Ovis aries: one gene and its partner. Each later gene encodes a partner of the first gene's protein in a complex. Links are inferred from orthologs where the notes say so. Each region holds a gene or a part of one and is shown in the gene's direction. Other genes may lie near its edges.

The links. Proteins that work in one complex are often made in the same cells at the same time.
Region 2: the proteins of FN1 (region 1) and COL1A1 are in contact, whole or in part, in a crystal structure (PDB 3GXE), measured with the Homo sapiens proteins. The link is inferred for Ovis aries from reciprocal best matches to the Homo sapiens genes FN1 and COL1A1. Residues at the interface, in NP_997647.2 of Homo sapiens: Asp516, Gln517, Lys533, His535, Glu537, His539, Leu541, Gly549, Arg550, Gly551, Arg552, Trp553, Lys554, Cys555, Pro557, Gln560, Phe569; in NP_000079.2 of Homo sapiens: Leu261, Pro262, Gly263, Met264, Lys265, Gly266, His267, Arg268.

What each region holds. Positions count from the first base shown.
Region 1 is NC_056055.1:217,390,042-217,400,029, reverse strand, and holds the start of FN1 (fibronectin), read left to right. Parts: upstream 1-262; 5' UTR 263-490; coding exon 491-641; intron 642-1,559; coding exon 1,560-1,688; intron 1,689-2,639; coding exon 2,640-2,777; intron 2,778-4,257; coding exon 4,258-4,389; intron 4,390-5,603; coding exon 5,604-5,741; intron 5,742-8,441; coding exon 8,442-8,600; intron 8,601-9,988. UniProt on the Homo sapiens protein: Fibronectins bind cell surfaces and various compounds including collagen, fibrin, heparin, DNA, and actin. Fibronectins are involved in cell adhesion, cell motility, opsonization, wound healing, and maintenance of cell shape.
Region 2 is NC_056064.1:36,188,047-36,197,583, forward strand, and holds the start of COL1A1 (collagen alpha-1(I) chain), read left to right. Parts: upstream 1-3,071; 5' UTR 3,072-3,187; coding exon 3,188-3,290; intron 3,291-4,773; coding exon 4,774-4,968; intron 4,969-5,116; coding exon 5,117-5,151; intron 5,152-5,261; coding exon 5,262-5,297; intron 5,298-5,386; coding exon 5,387-5,488; intron 5,489-6,325; coding exon 6,326-6,394; intron 6,395-6,611; coding exon 6,612-6,656; intron 6,657-6,807; coding exon 6,808-6,861; intron 6,862-7,042; coding exon 7,043-7,096; intron 7,097-7,602; coding exon 7,603-7,656; intron 7,657-7,772; coding exon 7,773-7,826; intron 7,827-8,159; coding exon 8,160-8,213; intron 8,214-8,300; coding exon 8,301-8,345; intron 8,346-8,461; coding exon 8,462-8,515; intron 8,516-8,623; coding exon 8,624-8,668; intron 8,669-8,835; coding exon 8,836-8,889; intron 8,890-9,141; coding exon 9,142-9,240; intron 9,241-9,326; coding exon 9,327-9,371; intron 9,372-9,468; coding exon 9,469-9,537. UniProt on the Homo sapiens protein: Type I collagen is a member of group I collagen (fibrillar forming collagen).

The sequences.
Region 1 (9,988 bases):
AAGTTTGACGACCGCAAAGGAAACCGAAAAAAGTTCTCTTGTCCCAATCCTGGCGGGCGATCAGCATCTCTTTTGTTCAAGGCGAACCCACAGTTCCCCTGACGTCACCCGGAGCCCGGGCCAATGGGCGCGCGGTCGGCGGCGGCTGCGGCCGGAGGAGGGTGGGAGGGGGTCCGGCCGGTCCCTCCTCCCCGGTGCCCGGGGCCTCGCGGGGGGCGGGAAGGGACCGTCCCATATAAACCCTGGTTCTCTGGGCTCGGCCGCTCGCGCCGGCTGCGCTTTGCACGGGGAAGAGGGGGACCCCTAATCGCGAGCGGGGGCGAGGGGACCTGCAGCCACAGCTTCTTTCGTCCTCTCCTTCCCTCCGTCCTCTACCCTTCCCTTTCCCCATCCTCCAGCCCTGACTCTCCAGGCGGTACTGGAAGGGGACTCCGCCCGCAGGTTGCGAAGGGAGCCAAACTTAAGTGGCAAGTTGCCTCACCGTCTCAAGATGCTCGGGGGTCCGGGGCCCGGGCTGCTGCTGCTGCTGGCCGTCCTGTCCCTGGGGACAGCGGTACCCTCCGCGGGAGCCTCGAAGAGCAGGAGACAGGCGCAGCAGATCGTTCAGCCCCAGTCCCCGCTGACTGTCAGTCAGAGCAAACGTGAGTACTGACCGTGGGCTGGAACAGGCTGCCTCAGGACCGGGCCAGAAAGCCAACCAAAGTTGTGACTGAAGTTTTGTGCGCGCGCGCGCGTGGAGTGTGTGTACTCCTACATGAGAGGGGGACATAAAAGACTGGCTTTGAGCAAGCTGGTTTTGTGGGCTTAGGTAAGATAAGGCGTTGGAAGGCGGAGCTCAGCGATGTCCAGCAGGGCTGGTACCGACTCATGTCATCCTCCTTTGAATTAACCAGAACTCGTCTTTAAAGAGAAAAATGATGCACCCCTTTAAACTTTTATTTTTGGGATTAGTGTGGTCCTTACGCTTATTTTCTTTGTTACTAAGTAATCGGTTAAATACTGTCAAAATGGGGATGAGGGGAGAGTAGCTGAATGATTATGCTGTTCCAACTTTGAATGAGATGTAATTGCTTCAAAATGCTTTCTCAGGATGCTTCTCCAAGAACAGAGATTGGAATTCCTCTTCCAGTTTCTCGAAGACACACCCTCCCTTTTCCTTGGCTAATGGAAACTGCTTAGCATTACCCTTCTTGACTTATTACCCCCAAAGAGCGCTGAAATTCCTTGCACGTTTTAAAACGTGATTCCCAGTTATCTGCTTTTCAGAATGTTTCCATTCCTGTGGTGCAGACCCCTGGCCAGATGGAAATGACATCATTGTATAACATTTAACTAAAGTCAAAAGAAAAACAAAAGGAATACCTAAATATCTACATGTACAAATGTGTGGTTAACTCGTTAGATATCTAGTTGCTTTTAATTCTTCTGATGCTTTGATGATTAACTTTTTCCCCCTTCGTTTGTTGCTTAGGCTTATCAGTTTAGTTGTGCAAGAAAATTCCATACTTTGGAAAAAGGAAGGATCCAAATTTAATGACTTTTTTCTTCATTTCTTACAGCTGGTTGTTATGACAATGGAAAGCACTATCAGATAAACCAACAGTGGGAGCGCACCTACCTGGGCAGTGCCTTGGTCTGTACCTGTTATGGAGGGAGCCGGGGCTTTAATTGTGAGAGCAAGCCTGAACGTAAGTGATGGGGAGCCTGCCTAGTTCTTAGTATCTTCTAATTATTATAGTTATTAGAATCTAATAGATAGAGAAGTAGTGCTTGTTGATTAAATTTAGGATTAGTAGTAAAATTATATATCTCATTTCCCTAATAAAATTATCTTTAACAATGTTTAATAACTGTTTATATTTGCTTTTCAAATTATATTGTTCTTTTTACTTTTCAAACAAAATAACAAATATATCCCAAAGTAGTTTCTAGGGTCTTCTTTCTGTTTTACTTTCCCAAAACATGAATGATATGTGTTCTTTTTCCCTTCAAAAAGAAAGAATTGCTTATAAAATTCTAATTTATTAGAAAGTAATTCCAAATCTTAGACTGTAAGAGTATGGGGCAGAAAGCACTTTGGGCAGTACATTGTCAAACGATTTGTCAGCTGCATTTCAACGTAAAACCACTGACCACTTCAAAGTTCTCATTCCTTTATGACCCTTGATCTATTTCTTATAAATTATGGCAACTCCTGCAGAACCACTGATGAGGCTAAAATGGAAATAGTAGGATTAACAAGGGCCAGTGCTGGGGTGGGGGTGGGAGCTCTTCAGACTGTTTATTTTTAAGTGGACCTTGGTTTGATTTTCTGAGCCAGAGAGAGGAATCTAAAGTCCTTCCTTCACAATCTAGCTGGTTCTAAGGTTGTGCTTTATAGCTTTTTTCCTAAGCGCCTGAGAATCCTTTCCAATGGAAATTCATCACCAGAAAATTAGAAAACTTGTCAAAGGTTGAAAACTGAGGCTTTGTTAGACCCTAGGGTAAAATTGAGATCTGCTACTTCAGGTTTTAAAAACTTTCCACTTGTCCCTTGCTACTCACAGAATAGAAAAGTAGGTTTTCCCTTGGATGAGAGTAGTGGAATAGAAAAGTTTTTCCCTATATAAGGTTCACATGGACTTTCCTTCTTCCCTCAGCTGAAGAGACTTGCTTTGACAAGTACACTGGGAACACCTACCGGGTGGGCGACACTTACGAGCGCCCGAAGGACTCCATGATCTGGGACTGTACCTGCATCGGGGCTGGGCGAGGGAGAATAAGCTGCACCATTGCAAGTAAGAACGGCCTCTGTCCAGGAACGCTGAGATAACACAGTGTGAACTTTTCCATTCCCATCTCTGTCATTTTCTGTTATCCATGACTGGATATTCCTAGTGTGGGGATTTATCCCAGGTGAGCAGACACCCTTCTATGGCCACACAGCTGATTCCTGTGCCTCTGAAAGGTGGCTCTGAGCACAGATGGAGGCAGTGTTCAGTCTGTTTGCATTTATGAGAGAGAGAGAGTGTGTGTGTGTGTGTGTGTGTGTGTGTGTGTGTACACATATGTCCGTAGCCTAACCAAGCAAATCTCTTGGGTTCCATCCCATTCTTAGAGGAGTTGCCCATTTTATGTTATCTGGGCATCTTCAAGCCAGATTGCTCATGTGGTGATCCGCAGTGATCGGAAAGATGGTCACGAAGAATGAATTAGCCGTTGTGTGCTCTGCTAGTCTTGTTAGCAATGTACACACTGCTTGGATCTCACAGAAACAGTCTGGTTTCTTTGTAACCAGTAGTTTATAACCAGGAAGCAGAGCTCTCTATTCCTAGGAATAATGTGGAATGAATTTTCCAAGGTACTTAGGGATCTGGACTTACTCTCAGCAATTCTAGTTTAGCTAAGTCAAACTTTCCAGTATGATTCATTGGGTTACCAATAGCTTCTATTAACACAGCACTTAGTGTTTTTTAATCCATCGTTGTATAAGTCTCTTAAAGGCTCAGTCTAAAAGACAAATCAGACTTCCCTGGCGGTCTAGTGGTAAAGACTCTGAGCTTCCACTGCAGGGGTGGAGGTTCAATCTCTGGTCAGGGAAGTAAGTGGCACCCGGCCAAAAAGCATGATGTACAGCCTTCTGGAAAAGACAAATCAGTCTCTTGTGAATAAGCCCAATCAGCCTGTCCTATATTTAATGTTAGAATTTATCCAAGATTATCGGTATATGTTAAGAGTCAGTGTTCTATAGTGTTTACATACTGTTTACACAGTGGACAGTTTAACCTTTGTATGTGCCCTTGTGTTTAACCAGATTTCCACACTTGCGATGTATACATCTATTTGCTTTCCATCAAAAAGACATTTCTATCCTAGGGTGAAGTACGGACTCTCCACATCCTGAAAGCTGGAATTCTAGGTCTAGTGTGCCTTTTGCATTGAATTAGTCTCAGCTAAACCCACTATGTGTGTGTGGAGGCCATGCCTGGCAGCCTTTCTTTTCTGCTTTAGAACTCAATTTCCTGTGATCTCTCTGGGGATCCAGGATTTATGACTCCTTTCTTTGCTATTCAGATTTCCTCTGTGGTTTCCCATTGTGCTTAAACCAGACATTCAACTGAAGGACCCCAAATGACCAGACCTGTTAACTTTTCCCCTGTCCCCGATGGGAAAGCTGCTCTCTTTGGCCAGCCAAAGGGGTTGGAATATGAGACTTTTTCTGCTTTAAAACTATTTTCTGTCCCACTGTCTGTAACATTTGCTTTTTATCTTGAACAGACCGCTGCCATGAAGGGGGGCAGTCCTACAAGATTGGTGACACCTGGAGGAGACCACACGAGACTGGTGGTTACATGTTAGAGTGTGTGTGTCTGGGTAATGGGAAAGGAGAATGGACCTGCAAGCCCATAGGTGTGTGACTTGGGGATAAATGGGGGTGGGATACACAGTCAAAATGTTGGGTTGAGTCAAAATTGACATGACAAGATACCTGTCTTCCAATAAAAAAGATAAGAGACTGAGAATTCTATTTAAAATAATGAAATGTTGTGTAATCCATAGTCTTCTTTAAGGAATCGGTTCAAATTCCCGACCATGTATAGAAGTCTTAGGGATTCCCAGGTGGCGCCCTGGTAAAGAATCCGCATGACAGTGTAGGAGATGCAAGAGATCTGGGTTCCGTTCCTGGATCTGGAAGTAGGAAACGGCAATTCAAACAGTATCCATTATCCTTGCCTGGAAAATTCTGGAAACAGAGAATGCTGGTAGACTGCATACAGTGCATGGGCTGGCAAAAAGTCGGCCATGACTGACTATACACGTATCAATAGAAGTCTTAATTTTTTTTCAAAGCTTAAGATAGAGTTGAAAGATTTAGGAAGAAGTCATTTGTTTTCTCTAAGATCTGTTCTCAGATTTCTCCTTGGTCAAGATGTAAGTTTTTTAAAGGAAAAAAAAATGAGACTTTTAACATCTTTCTTTATTGGAACGCGGCAGATAGAAACACCTCGTGTTTGTATGTGGTGTGTGTTCTATCATCTCTTGCTCATTTTTTGTCAAAAATTGCTGTTTCCTTTGGTGTCAATGTTTAGCTGAACTCTAGATAGAAATCTAAGAGTTTCTGGCTATAAATTTTATTCTGATTGATCTCTAATACAGAGGTTTTAATTTTCTTTGTGTTGCCTCTATTTTTACAGAAATCCAGATTTTAAATAGCTTTCTTGTCATTTTATGCAGGCATTCATAATTGGTCATTTTTAATTAAGATTGGAATTTTGCATATTTAGTCTCACTATGCAAGAGATTCATAGATCCACAGGAGGCACATAGATCCTTTTTGCTCAAAATACTGGTGTGAGGAACGGTGCTAGCTGAAGATGTACAACCCGTGTACTTGTTAGGAGAACAGAATTTCTGCCTGCCAACTTGGCTAGAGCTTCCTTTCACTTTGGTTACTTGCTCTGTGCTTAGTTACAGGGCGTGCCTTTCTATTTGAACAGAGTACCACTTAAAAAAATGTGGTTAGGTTTTTGCTTACACAATATACTTTAAATTACAGGGAGACAGCACAGTTTGAAATAACTTCTTTCTTTTTCTTTCTGTTTTTCCTTCCAATTTCCCCACAGCTGAGAAATGTTTTGATCAGGCTGCTGGTACTTCCTACGTTGTCGGGGAGACCTGGGAAAAGCCTTATCAGGGCTGGATGATGGTGGACTGTACTTGCCTGGGAGAAGGCAGTGGACGTATCACTTGCACCTCCAGAAGTACGTTTTAGATCTGTATGTTAAAGATGAAGTCAGGCATTGTTTTCTGGATTCCTAGAGAGAATTGTCGTATGATATCACGTACAACATCCATTCCATCAACATCCTAACCTTTGGATGTCAAGAAAAATTTTGTAACCAACTTATTCTACTTCTTCAAAGAAGACTAAATTAAAATAAAACAGCTTATTTCAGTAAGGTCTTAGGTTATCAGCTACTGAGAAAAAACTTGATGTTCATTTCAGTGCCAAATGTATCGAAGACCTGAAGATGAGTTGCCAGTGTTTCATCTAAGTGATCACTGAGATATTTTCTAAGTAGCAAGGAAATCTTTAAAATAACAGGCACATGCATCTTTGGGCATATGAGTGCTCTTGACACAGAGAGGAGCAAAGCTCTAAAGTTTTGGGTTTCCATCTATGCTTGACATTTAAGTAAGGCACATAACATTAGCAAAATTGATGAAAATAAAAGGTACTTATCCCATAGGTTAAATTATGTTTAACCCCAATTCTGAAGTCAAGGACAGTGTCTCTGTAGGTTTTTAAGTGCTGTGAAGAAGCTAAACTTTGAAAGTTTCTGAACCACTGGTATCTCTGTAGCTCCTTCTAAGATTGCCCCGAGGCCTTACTTTTTGCCTTAGGGATTCAATGCTCCTTTTTTGAAGTGTCAAACTATAAAGTTTGTGGAAGCAATACAGCTATCAACTATCAGTGTTATACGTTTAAAATCAAATTAAATATTTTGAACATGTCTTATCTAGCTGGAAGTTTTAACCATCTCATCATGTTCACCATCCAAATTTGAATTCTTTCAAACAAAAAATAATCTCTTTTAAATAGTGATAGCAATTTAAACTAAATGTTTTTGAGTATCTTGCCAGTTCTCTTACATTTAACATTTTATTATGATTATCAGACTTCCAAGACCTCGGTGGCAGTGTTTTAGTTTAAGACAAGTTAGATGTTTTACTCAAACTCTTATCTATTATTTAAAGCTCTTCTAATAACAAGTTGGGAAAAGCTTCTCAAAGAAAAGTCGTTTCTTCCATGAATTTCTTTAAGTCCCTACTTCATTCAGGATGGTGTAGGGATGCAAAAATGAACTGGACATTAGCCAACTCGTCAAAGAGAACTTAGTAAGTAGATGAGAAAGGCTTATATATATCATCTTCTACAAAGCACAGAATTAAACACTTTGAGACAGATACTGAAATAGTACTATGGAGGTTCAGGGGAAGACAACACTTGGTTGGAGATTTGGGAAAAAGTGTCACCAGCAATGCTATCTTTATTCAGACTTCTGCTGTGGTGGGAGATCAATATGTGTCTGTATTTGTCTGAACTTAACATCAACTAATTATTTTTTATCTAACCCAGTGTAGTTCTGTTTCACAAACCAATCAAATCCTTTCTATCACATTGCAGCATATGGGCAAAGCTGGATTATAATTGAAACAGTTTATTTGCCAGATAATCATAGGCTGATGGTAATTTAGTTACAAATTATCATTTTATTTTCTTGTCTGTCTAATCCCATGGACAGAGGAGCCTAGTGGGCTACAGCCCATAGGGTCACAAGAGTCAGACGTGACTAAATGAACATTAAACAAACATTATTTTATATTAATAATCTCACTTTCCCATCAAAGAGTTAACACCATGAGCAATTCAAAAGATGCCATTTTATTAGTAATGTTAAATAGGTTTGTGTTTGGTAGGGGGTGGGGTGGGACCAGGGGAGAGAATATTTTAGTCAGAGAAGTTGGTGGTGCCTTGAATTGTTTTACATAACAAATGAAAAAACAGATGCTGCTTTCTTTTAATAGCTCCTTTGGGGCGGTTGGTTGAGATCCTATGAGACCTACTTGCCTCCCTATTGTTTCTAGTTTTCTAAAGAAAATCCCTTATGATAAGGCAGGTTGTGAACAGTCATGACTCAAAGCCAGGAGAGCCAGAGGATACAGAGGGAAGACTAGAAAGCGAGGGGATGAATTTAGTCAAATAAACAATGTGAAAAAATATAATGAATGAAAGATTTAAATTTAATGAACTGAATGACTAAATGAAAATTTAATGAGTGAAAAATGGCATTCTGGCAAATAGATGAGTGGAATTAGACTACATCGTATAGCTTCCTTCACACTGTTTTAAATGCAATCACATCTTTCAGAAGTTTACCACCCATGGCACCACAGCTGAATATAAAGGTATCATCCAAAAACAGCTTACCAAACATGAAGCACTGTATTCTCCTTTTTCTTTTTTTAAACTTCTTCTTGGAGTATAGTTAACAGTATTGTGTTAGTTTGGGGGGTACAGCAAAGTGAATCAGTTTTAGATCATTTATTTAGATCATTTAGCTCAGTCGAAAGAATCTGCCTGCAATGCAGAAGACGCAGGTTCGATTCCTGGTTTGGGCAGATTGGAGAAGGGTATGGCTGTCCCCTCTATTATTCTTGCTTGGAGAATCCCATGGACAGAAGAGCCTGGCAGGCTACAGTCCTTGGGGTCGCAAGAGCTGGACGCAACTTAGCGACTAAACCACCATTACAGACTTATTACAGAGTACTGAGTGGAGTTCCCTGTGCTGTACACTAGGTCCTTATTAGAAACAACTCTATTGTTATTTTAGGTTTGCATCAAGCCCTTGCCAAGCTCAAACTGATTTACATGTTTTAATGCTTCCTTTCTGCCACAGACAGATGCAACGATCAGGACACTAGGACATCCTATAGAATTGGGGATACCTGGAGCAAGAAGGACAACCGGGGGAACCTGCTCCAATGCATCTGCACCGGCAACGGCCGTGGCGAGTGGAAGTGTGAGAGGCATACGTCCCTGCAGACCACATCTGCAGGTGAGGCACAGGGCCCTGGGGACCCAAACGGGGCACCTTGCACAAAGCATTCCGCAAAGCCATCTTTCCCTTGGTGTGCCCTTGAATGATGATGTGGCTATGAAGCTGAGTTCCTTTGCAGACTGTTAGTTAAAACTTTGTTTACTATCAAGTTTTTTAAACTTAAATAAAAATGAAACTAAAATGGATTGGTGGGGGGGCGGGGAGGACTAATTTTAGTTCCAAGAGGTTAAACTGATGGCCAAGAAAAATTACTAATATCATGGAAACCTACATGATTTATATACAAAGATATAAATAAATATATTGAGATCTGTAGATCAATACACATGTGGATATTCATATACATACCCTTGTGTGTGTATGTTGAATATCTAAAGTACATTTTAATAGAAATGAGAAACTTTTGCTGAGTTACATGATCCCTTGATTCCTCTACTGGGAAAAGTGGGGAAAAGTACATTTGTTCTTTTTCAGAATGGCATATATCTCCTTACCCTGACATTCCATTCTTTTTGTTGTGGAAACAATCCTTTATGTGTGGTTTCCATGCTCCAGCAAACTCTGTTGCATTCCGTAAAATAATGCACAGTCATTTTCTTCATGTATTGGCTTTCACATTTGAAAAATTCAGAGGAGTCCTAGACATGGGAAGGAATGACATAATATTTAAGCTTTTTTAAAAAAATAGGTTTTAATTATTTCTAGTACAAGACTAGGATCTTTGCATTATAGCTTGTCTTGTAAGAATCTAAAGAAAGAAAGAGGGCGGTCAAGAATGTGTGCTTCTGTTGTTATTCTTGCTCTGTTTTATCAAGTTTTCACTATACAGTGCACTAGCCTTATGGTTTAGTCTTTCATCTAGGTCATTTAGCAAAAAGTATTAATTACTTACTTGGATTTTCCTCCTTTTGATGAGTTTTCATCTTGCCATGAGCACTTAGGAAGGAGAACAAGATTGGACTTGATAACATTTCTTGAGTTATTTGATTACTTTCAGTAAAATTGCTGCTAACCTAAAAAAGAAACAATTACTAATCTCAGCCTACTGAAGCAGTTTAAATTAAAAAGAGTAGAGGTTAATTGGGAGTAAGCATTCAATGATTGCTATCTATTTTTATTAGTATTACTAATATTAATACTGAAATGGCTCTGTTCAAAAAAGTTTGAGAGACATGGAGTTAAACCAATAAAAACTTTCTTCTACAGGAGCTTAATATTCCTTTGCGTTGTGACCCTCCCAAGTGGGGTGTATGAAAACAGATGCCATGTTCCCCTGATATGTGTGACCTTGGGACCATTGTCTATGAAGTATTTGGGTTCCAGTGTTGCTCAGAAAGGAAAGCTGTCTTAAGGGGCCTGTCTTAGAGAGATGCTAAATTCAGTCT
Region 2 (9,537 bases), on another chromosome or scaffold:
CAACCCCTTTGCCAGGGACCCTCTCTTCATCACCAGTCTGGGGCAGAAGAGGATTCTGGAAGGTCAGATCAGGGAAGGAGGGCAGCAAAACCTCAGCAGGACACCAGGTAGCTAGAAAGGGCTGACCAAACTGCCCACCAGGTGCACCAGCCCCCGGGCTGCTTTGCTGTTTTACCCCACACCAGCAGTCCAGAGCAGGGCTTGAGGGGCTCCTCAGGAGGACGGAGAGCGGGGAGCGCAAGCACACTGAGGAAGGGCACTTGAGGAAATTTGGAAAGGGAGCGAACTCAGAGCTCAGCACTTTCTTCCTTCTGTTTTTCTTCTTGAGGAATTTTTTTCCCTGACTGCTGATGACTTTACCATTTCTAAGGGGTCGGGGGGGGAGGAGATTTTGGCTTTTGCTCCCCCCACTCCAAATGCCAGACAAAGTCTTACATTCCACAAGAAGCCAGAGCTTCAGAGTTTCCTAAAGATGAGGTGGCGTCTCCTCCCCTCTCCGGCCTCAGCTCCCTCCCTCTTTCCTCCCCCCCACCCACAAGTCTCAAGCCCTCAGTTCTGGCCAAGGAGGCCCAGGCAGTCTGGGAGGAGACCCCAAGCACATTCTTCCTCTCATTGTCATGCTGCAGAAATTAGAGACACATCTTCGGGCTGGGCACCTGCCAAGCAGCGTTTCAAGCTGAAAAGTGGCAGAGGAGGCCCTGGGCCTCAGCTCTCTGCCACGTGTAAAGGATGCTTGGGAAACTTCTGCCTACAGCCCCTGGGATGGAGGTCTGAAACTGGACATTGGAGCAGCGGCTGTCACACACCATACTCACAAAACCAACCCCCAATACCAAGGTTCCCTAAATATTCTTCAGAACCCCAGGCTCGTGATGTAGCAACTCCCAACCTACATCTCTAAGTCTTCATCTCTCCTGTAAGGTGGTCGAGGGCCAGCCTGAACAGGGACCTAGAGGAGAGAGAACTGTAGGTAGGAGTCCTCTGGCTGCAAAAACTCAGCAAGCAGGGAGGTGGAAGGTCACAGCAACCCTCACTTCTAGCCTGTAACTCTCCTCCCCAAACAGCCACTCCAGAGGGGTGACTACTCTGAGGGGCAGGACTCCTCATTTCTCCTGTTAGGGAGGGGGTGCTCCTTGTCCCTGAGCCACGCTGGAGGGGGCAGGAACTGCCATCTCAGCACCTCAGCCCCCAGCCCTGCCCTGCACTAGCTGGCACGATGGGGGCAGATCCTGGGCCACAAGTCGCTGCCACATGGTGGGGATAATTGATGAAGGCCCATCCCTCCATTGCTGTCTCCAGCCCTGCCTCTCTGGAAACTCTATATTTTCCCTTTAATTATAGCCCCTGCAGTCTCCCTCTGCGGCCCCACCCGCACCGCTCATCCTGGCTGCCCACGGCCAGCCGGCCAGCCGACGTGGCTCCCTCCCCTTCTGTTCTCTTGGTCTTTTTTTTCCTTTGCCTTCGTTGCACAAAACCAGCTGGGGGAGGGCGTGGAGAGGGGCGGGGAGGGGGGAGGCAATGGAATCTTGGATGGTTTGGGGGAGGCGGGACTCCCCGCTTCCACGTTTGCAGCTCTGGAGTGATGGGGGTGGGGAGCCGCACAGGAGGGATTGGAGTTGACAGGGCACTGCAAAGCGACCCTCTTTGACTTCCCTTGGGCCCACAGATTTTGGCAGGATCAGGAACCTGGATAGATTGGAGTTGGGGTAGAGTACTGGTGGGAGGTTGGGACATAGAGAAGGCAGGACGCTGGCTTCTAGAGTCATCTCCTAATATAGCCTGTTGTTCTTGGGGTCTCCATCGCTTTTCAGAGTGTAGATGATTCTCTCCTGGTTCCAGGGACAAAGAGTGATGCCCTGGGTTTCCAGGAAAGAGGTGAGGCAGAGAGGAACGTCCTCTAAAATAATGTCACTCACCTGTAATTCCACCTCAGACCTCCAAGGCAAGTCTTCCCCCAGACACCCCAATTCTCATGTGTCCCCAACCCTGAATCCAGGTACAGACAGAGACAGAGCTTTATGTGGCCTCCGGAAGGAGCACCCTCTCTCTTGTCAAGTGCTCTCCAATACAGTTCTCTCCAGTTTGACTGTGCTGGGTAGAAGGGTGTCTAAACAGGCCGTGGCCATGGCCGCGACAGACCCTAACACAAGACCCTTTCTTAAGTCACCAGTGGCCACGGCCCTTCCGTGCAAACTTACTGCCCCTGGGGTGGAAAAATCCTAGCAATTTTCCACCACCACCCTGCTGCCCCATCACTCAATACCAAAGCTTCCTTCTGGAGAGACTGCATACTCAAATTTTTCACCCAGTGCCTCAGCAACCTCCCTCACCCCAACTCTTTCAATCATGCTAGGGTTTAGGGGAGAGCATTTGAGTCTATCCTGGAGCCTCAGGCATGGCAGAACTGATATCGTCAAAACAAAAACCCACCCTAAGGATCTGATTCTTAATGTCTATAAATGAATCTATCTTGTTCCCCAAATATTCCTAAGTTCCATACCCCAGCCACACCAGAAGACACCCCAAAACAGGCACATCTTTTTAAATTCTCTGGTTCTCCTGCTTTAAAGTGGTCCCCAGCTGCCTCTCCATACCCATCCCGGAGCTCTTGCTCTGGGTGTCAGAGGGCGAACAAGGCAGGGCGAGCAGGACCCTCTCCCAATTACCCCGAGTCCTTCCATCTTTGAAAGCCTCCCTAACCAGCTCCCCAATTCCAGCCCCCTGCTTGAGACTGGGGGTCCTAGAAAGAAAGCCGAAGAGGCGCCCCTACCCACTATTTAGCCGACAGTATGTGGAGGACCTAGCCGCACCCCAGCGGCAGCATCTCTGGCCCAGACTGAACTGGGGGGCTGGGGAGGCAGAGCTGCGAAGGGGGGAGATGTGCGGTGGACTCCCTTTCCTTCCCTTCCCTCCTCCTCCCCCTCTCGGTTCCGACTCCCAAATTGGGGGCCGGGCCAGGCAACTCTGATTGGCTGGGGGACGGGCAGCCGGCTCCCCCTCTCCCGGGGGCAGGGTTCCTCCCCGCTCTCCATCAGGATGGTATAAAAGGGGCCCGGGCCGGTGGTCGGAGCAGACGGGAGTTTCTCCTCGGGGTCGGAGCAGGAGGCACGCGGAGTGTGAGGCCACGCATGAGCGGACGCTAACCCCCACCCCAGCCGCAAAGAGTCTACATGTCTAGGGTCTAGACATGTTCAGCTTTGTGGACCTCCGGCTCCTGCTCCTCTTAGCGGCCACCGCCCTCCTGACGCACGGCCAAGAGGAGGGCCAGGAAGAAGGCCAAGAAGAAGACAGTAAGTCCCAAACTCTTGGGAGTGTAGGGCTGCTTGCTCTCCTGCCCTGCGCTCGGTCCCTGGGGTCTGCGACTTAAACTGAGGCTCGGGATGCTCCGGAGGCTCAGGGATGGAAGGAAGATGGTGAGGGCTCTTGGTCGGTGCCCTCTCTGCGACGGGGTGTTGATGAAGGCCCCCCAGGAGTAAGAGGGGAGGATGCTGCACGGCAAGAATTGGCGTAGGAGGAGTTCTGAGCGCGCACTGTGAAGTACAGCGGGAGAAATAGGGTCTGGGCACCGGTTTGGGGGAAAGTACGTCGAAGATGGGATGGAGGCGCCGAGTTGGGAAATTGGAGTCCAAGATGTAACAGTGATCAGGAAGGCTATGGGATGATTCATCAGGAAAGACTGTTGGCCCTCTCTGCGGGCTAGCAGTGTTCCTGGGGCCGCGGAGGTCTTGGACTGAGGGGGGAGGGGGCGCAGAGAGTGGGCGGGTTGAATGATGAGAAACTTTGGCGCGGACTTGGCCACGCAGGGTCTTTGCGCCCTCTGCTGATCTACACTGGGCAGTGCGCGTCCTTATCCAGCGCTTCCCCGCGCAGGAGCTGGAGCGGGAAGACCGGGATGGTTGCTGGGTGTGGACCCCACCTCTAGATCTGGAAAATAAAGCTGGAGATGGGATAGCCCCTGTCTCTAAAAGAAATAGCTAGTTTGGGGAAATTGCTTAGTGTCGCCCTAGTGGCCGTCTCGGTAGAAGATTGCGGTGGGCGTGGTTAACTAACCACTTACTGTTGCGGACTTTCTGGTTCTTTGACTAAGAAGTGACCCGGAGCACCGGCTGGCTTTGGGAGACGGGGGTTGTCCCTGAGCTAGGCCTTTTGAGATGTCTGGGCGCCGGAGTCGGGGCGTACCCTATTTTTACCGTACGTTTCAGGTCTCTGGGCGGGATCCCACGCCAATCAGCCCCACCCCATCCTCTTAGCCCCGCCCACGCCATCCCACCTGCCCCGGGAATGGGGCGGAATCTGGGTTGAACCTCCCATCTCTCCTCCCATTTTCCTCTGAGGTCTCCAACCAAGGTCACGCCCCGCAAGCCTGCCCTCGGGATGGGGCGCCTCTCTTCCCACTCCTCCATCCCCCGTCCCCGCCCCCACCCCCACCCAATGGCTTTTTATTTCACTTGGCTTCAGCGCCAATGGGCTGAGGTTACAGTTGGAAGCGACCCCGGCCTAAAGCTTTGTTTAAATTCCTGAGAACTGGAAAGAGTTATAGCTGTCCTGGCCAGGCGCCTCGGCGCTGTCACTGGCTCTGATGAGGAGCAGATGAGCGTTTAAGGATTTGGGGAAAGGAAAAACAAAAGGACAAAAAATGGAAAGGCGGGAAATGGAAAATCTAAATGTGCCTCTAAGACCGAAGGGAAGGGACGGTGGGGTTGGGGTGCCTGGAGCCCCGAGGTGAGGGACTCGCGCGCCGCTGACAGCCCCCATCTCCCCGTCTTGCCCCAGTCCCACCAGTCACCTGCGTACAGAACGGCCTCAGGTACCATGACCGAGACGTGTGGAAACCCGTGCCCTGCCAGATCTGCGTCTGCGACAACGGCAACGTGCTGTGCGATGACGTGATCTGCGACGAACTTAAGGACTGTCCTAACGCCAAAGTCCCCACGGACGAATGCTGCCCCGTCTGCCCCGAAGGCCAGGGTATAGCTCGGGGCCTGGGCCGGGGCGGGCGGGGGCTGGGGGATATAAGCGGGGACGCTCCTTAGCCCCTGTCAGGGGAGGCCTCTGTCTCTGGGAGCACCTGGAGCAAACCTTGCCTCTAAGTCCTGTCTCTCCCCACCCCCCCCAGAATCAACCACGGACCAAGAAACCACTGGAGTCGAGGTAATCCTCTGCCCCTTTGCCGTCGACTCTAGCCACACCCCGCCCCCCAGGACTCTTCACGGGTCGTCTCTAACCCGGTTCCTTTTGTTTCCTCTCCTGCAACCCCACAGGGACCCAAAGGAGACACTGGCCCCCGAGGCCCAAGGGTAAGCGGCGCCCTCTCGCGGCTGTCGGGGGAGGTGAGTGGGCATGGCTCCCGGCCTGCGCTCACCAGGCCTGCCCTTTCCCGCCGCAGGGACCCGCCGGCCCCCCTGGCCGAGATGGCATCCCTGGACAACCTGGACTTCCTGGACCCCCTGGACCCCCCGGACCTCCCGGACCCCCTGGCCTCGGAGGAGTAAGTGGAGAGTCGAGGCTTCTGTGGAAGGCCTTAGGAGCCAGCCCTGCCCCCCCCCCCCCCCACCCCCCCACTCCCGCTCCCGCCGCTGTTTTCGTTTGCTGGGTTTTGTTTTGTTTTGGCAGATGGCATACTTTGTTTTTTTGAAATAATGTCAAACTCATAGGGGAAGAGGGGGAGAAGAGTTGCAAGAATAATGCAAAGAAACTTTCCTATATCGTTCACAATTTGTTACATTTGCTTTATCAGTCTCCATGTACATGTAAAATTATTGGGGGGGTTTTCTCTGAACCATCTGAGAGTAATTTGCTGGTATTGTGTCCCTTTGCTCCTAAATACTTTACTGTGTATTTTCTAAGAGCTAAAACATTCTCTTACATGAGCATTACATAATGAGTACATTTTAGAAATTTAACGTTGATGTGATACTGTTATCTAATATGCAGTCCATATTCAAACCTCACCAGTGTTCTCCATAATGTCCTTTACACCATTTGTCCCCCCTGGTTCAAGATCCAGTCCAGGATTATGAATCACATTTTAATTATCATGTCTCTTCAGTTTCCTTTCACCTGGAACATTCCTCAGGCTTTCCTTGTCTTTCATGACACTGAACTGTTTTGCAAAAGCCAGTTGTTTTGTAGACTGTCTCTTAAATTGGGTTTGTTGGGTGTGTCTTCCTGATTAGATTCCAATGATACGTTTTGGGCAAGACTGTGCCACAGGTCGTGTAGCTGTACTGCATAGAGAATGTGATATCTGTCCCATAACTGGTGATATCTTCTGCCTTTCAACTCACTGCCCTGACCCTGTTTTCTCATGCACTCTCTCTTCCAGAACTTTGCTCCCCAGTTGTCTTACGGCTATGATGAGAAATCAACAGGAATTTCCGTGCCTGGTCCCATGGTGAGACATCAGCAGACGATGTAGAGGGCAGAAAAAGAGCAGACGGGCCAGTGAAGGCGCATAGGGTGACTTAGATAACTTGGGAGGTCAAGATGACTTTTGGGACCTCAGAATCCAGACAGAACATGAGGCAGGTGGGTGGGCCGAACAGGAACCATGGGAGATAAATTTTCCTACCGAGGCTTCACTCTGGCCTCTCTGTCTTTTCCTTCCATAGGGTCCTTCTGGTCCTCGTGGTCTCCCTGGCCCCCCTGGCGCACCTGTGAGTATCCAGGATGTCTACACCCCTTTGGGCTTTAGAGGGAGGATTGGCATGAGGGCAAGGAAAGTACTCAGAGATCTCTTGATGAGATGGAGGACATGTTGGCAAGGACCTGTCCTTCTAACCCTACCCCTCTCTTCTTGTCCTCCAGGGTCCCCAAGGTTTCCAAGGCCCCCCTGGTGAGCCTGGCGAGCCTGGAGCCTCAGTAAGTGACCCCTGATTTGCATTCTCTATGCAAATATACACCCCCTCTACAAATATATGGATTCTCCTATTGAAGGACCACCATCTGGAGTCTTTGTTACCTCCTTCTTCCAATCCTAGCCTTCCCCTTCTTTTCTCCTTATCCTGGTCATTCTAACATCCTCTCTTCCCGTCACCTCTAGGGTCCCATGGGTCCCCGTGGTCCCCCTGGCCCCCCTGGCAAGAACGGAGATGATGTAAGTAGCCCTGGTGAGGAGACACCATCTGACCCCCACCACCTGTCCATGTGTGGGCTCCTGCAATCTCTACCCTAGTTCCTCCACCACCTTTGGGAGTGACACCCAGAGAAAGACGGACATGTTCTCCCTGACGTACGGGACTGCCCTTGAATAGGGAGCTACCTGGGATGTTTCCCCGTCTTCCTAACAGACGTAGCTGTCCCTCCCCTCAACTCAGTCACCTTAAGTAGTCTCCAACTCTATCCTTGACATGAGCGGCTTCCCTAGGTGTAACCTCAGGTTTTCACTCCATGTGGTGAGATTAAGATGCTGGTGACAGAAATAAACAGAAATTCTTTGGAGGGAGGCAAAATTCACCAAGCGAGTGTTTCACAGTACATTTAAACTGAGATAGGATTTGGGGTCCCGAAGCCTGACTCTCAACAATCCCAAGAAAACCCAAGCCTCCCATTCTTTTCCAACTCTGGGGGCATGGGCATGATGGCCTTTTCTTTTTCTCTCAGGGTGAAGCTGGAAAGCCTGGTCGTCCTGGTGAGCGCGGGCCTCCCGGACCTCAGGTGAGCAGGATGGTGTGGCTGCCTCAGGCCTTGCTGCACTGGGGCTTCCTCTGGGAGCTGTGTCCACAGTGGAGTCTCCTAATGGCTCTGCCTTTGTCTTTTGCGTTCCTCTCCAGGGTGCTCGGGGATTGCCTGGAACAGCTGGCCTCCCTGGAATGAAGGGACACAGAGTGAGTCTCCTTTGTATCATCTAAGTTCCCAAAGTCCCAGTGTCATGTTCTAGTCCTTTCCCCAGAGGACCCTGGCATGCATCACGGTGGGTGGTAGCTACATAAGAAGTTCCAAGGGACAGAGAGTAAATGTCCAAGAGAACTTCCCTTCGTTGGGAAAGAAATCCCAATAAAGGGAGGGAGGGAGATCTTGGATCAGTTGGGGTTTAGTCTAGCTCAAACACAGGGGGATAGATGTGATGACCTCCTGAGGCTCCTTCTCTGGGCTGAGCAAGTGTCAGGGTGGTCGACAGTCTCCACAGGGTCTCACGCTGGCCCTCCCTCCTATCTTAGGGTTTCAGTGGTTTGGATGGTGCCAAGGGAGATGCTGGTCCTGCTGGCCCCAAGGTAAGATGCTGTGTGACGGACACGGTCATTCACCTCCTCCACAGTCCCACCTAGAACAGATTCCTTACTCCATTCTCTGCTCTGTAGGGTGAGCCTGGTAGCCCTGGTGAAAATGGAGCTCCTGGTCAGATGGTGAGTGTGTCCAGTTCTGGAAGGAAGGGAGGGAGCAGGCTGTAGGAGCAAGATGGGGGCTTGGGGAGAAGGGGGTGTCTTCCATCTCACTTGGCTTCTCTTGGTTTTGTTACCAGGGCCCCCGTGGTCTGCCTGGTGAGAGAGGTCGCCCTGGAGCCCCTGGCCCTGCTGTAAGTACTGGCCCTTTGGGGAACCCAGAGCTCTGGAAAGCGCTCCTTAGGAGCTAAGGGACCGAGCAGCGCTCAGTGAGTGTAACCGGGACTTCTGCTCTTCTGCAGGGTGCTCGAGGAAATGATGGTGCTACTGGTGCTGCTGGCCCCCCTGTGAGTACAGCCTTTAGACTCCGGTGCCTGGGACTGGGGCGGGGCCTCAGTGTCAGCTCTTGTGGCTGACATCAGGGCCAGGTGTCAACCCCAGGACCTCTTCTGTCCCAGGCTGTGACTTGCAGCTGCCATCTTCCTTCTTACTAACACTGCCCTTTTATTCACAGGGTCCCACTGGCCCCGCTGGTCCTCCTGGTTTCCCTGGTGCTGTGGGTGCTAAGGTGAGACCCCCACCCTCCAATGAGCAGAGCTCCCATGGGCCAAGGGGGTGGGCATTTCTTTGCTCCCGAAACCTGAAGGGCCCAGAATCAAGAGAGAAGCCTAGTCCCCAGCATCTTTGTCTTGGGGGGGGTCTCTTCCCTGATCTTGAGTCATGCCTCTTGGTCTCCTGTCCTGGCCCTTCACCCCTTGCCATCTGGAGGTGAGGTTGGGTTCCCAGAGTGACTTCTGACATATCCTTTCTTCCAATCCAGGGTGAAGCTGGTCCCCAAGGACCCCGAGGTTCTGAAGGTCCCCAGGGTGTACGTGGTGAGCCTGGCCCCCCTGGCCCTGCTGGTGCTGCTGGCCCTGCTGTAAGTATCACTTCCTCAGTGCTCCCATGCTCCTCCCTAACTCAGAGTCCTTGCCTTTCACTCACCCACCTCTCTCTGTGTCACAGGGCAACCCTGGTGCTGATGGACAGCCTGGTGCTAAAGGTGCCAATGTAAGTATCCTGCAGGTTTCAGAGCCGCCCCTGGTACCCACTTTCCACCTGCCCTGTGCCCTCCACTCCTGGGCTCAATTTGTTCTGCCTCCCTCAGGGCGCTCCTGGTATTGCTGGTGCTCCTGGCTTCCCTGGTGCCCGAGGCCCCTCTGGACCCCAGGGCCCC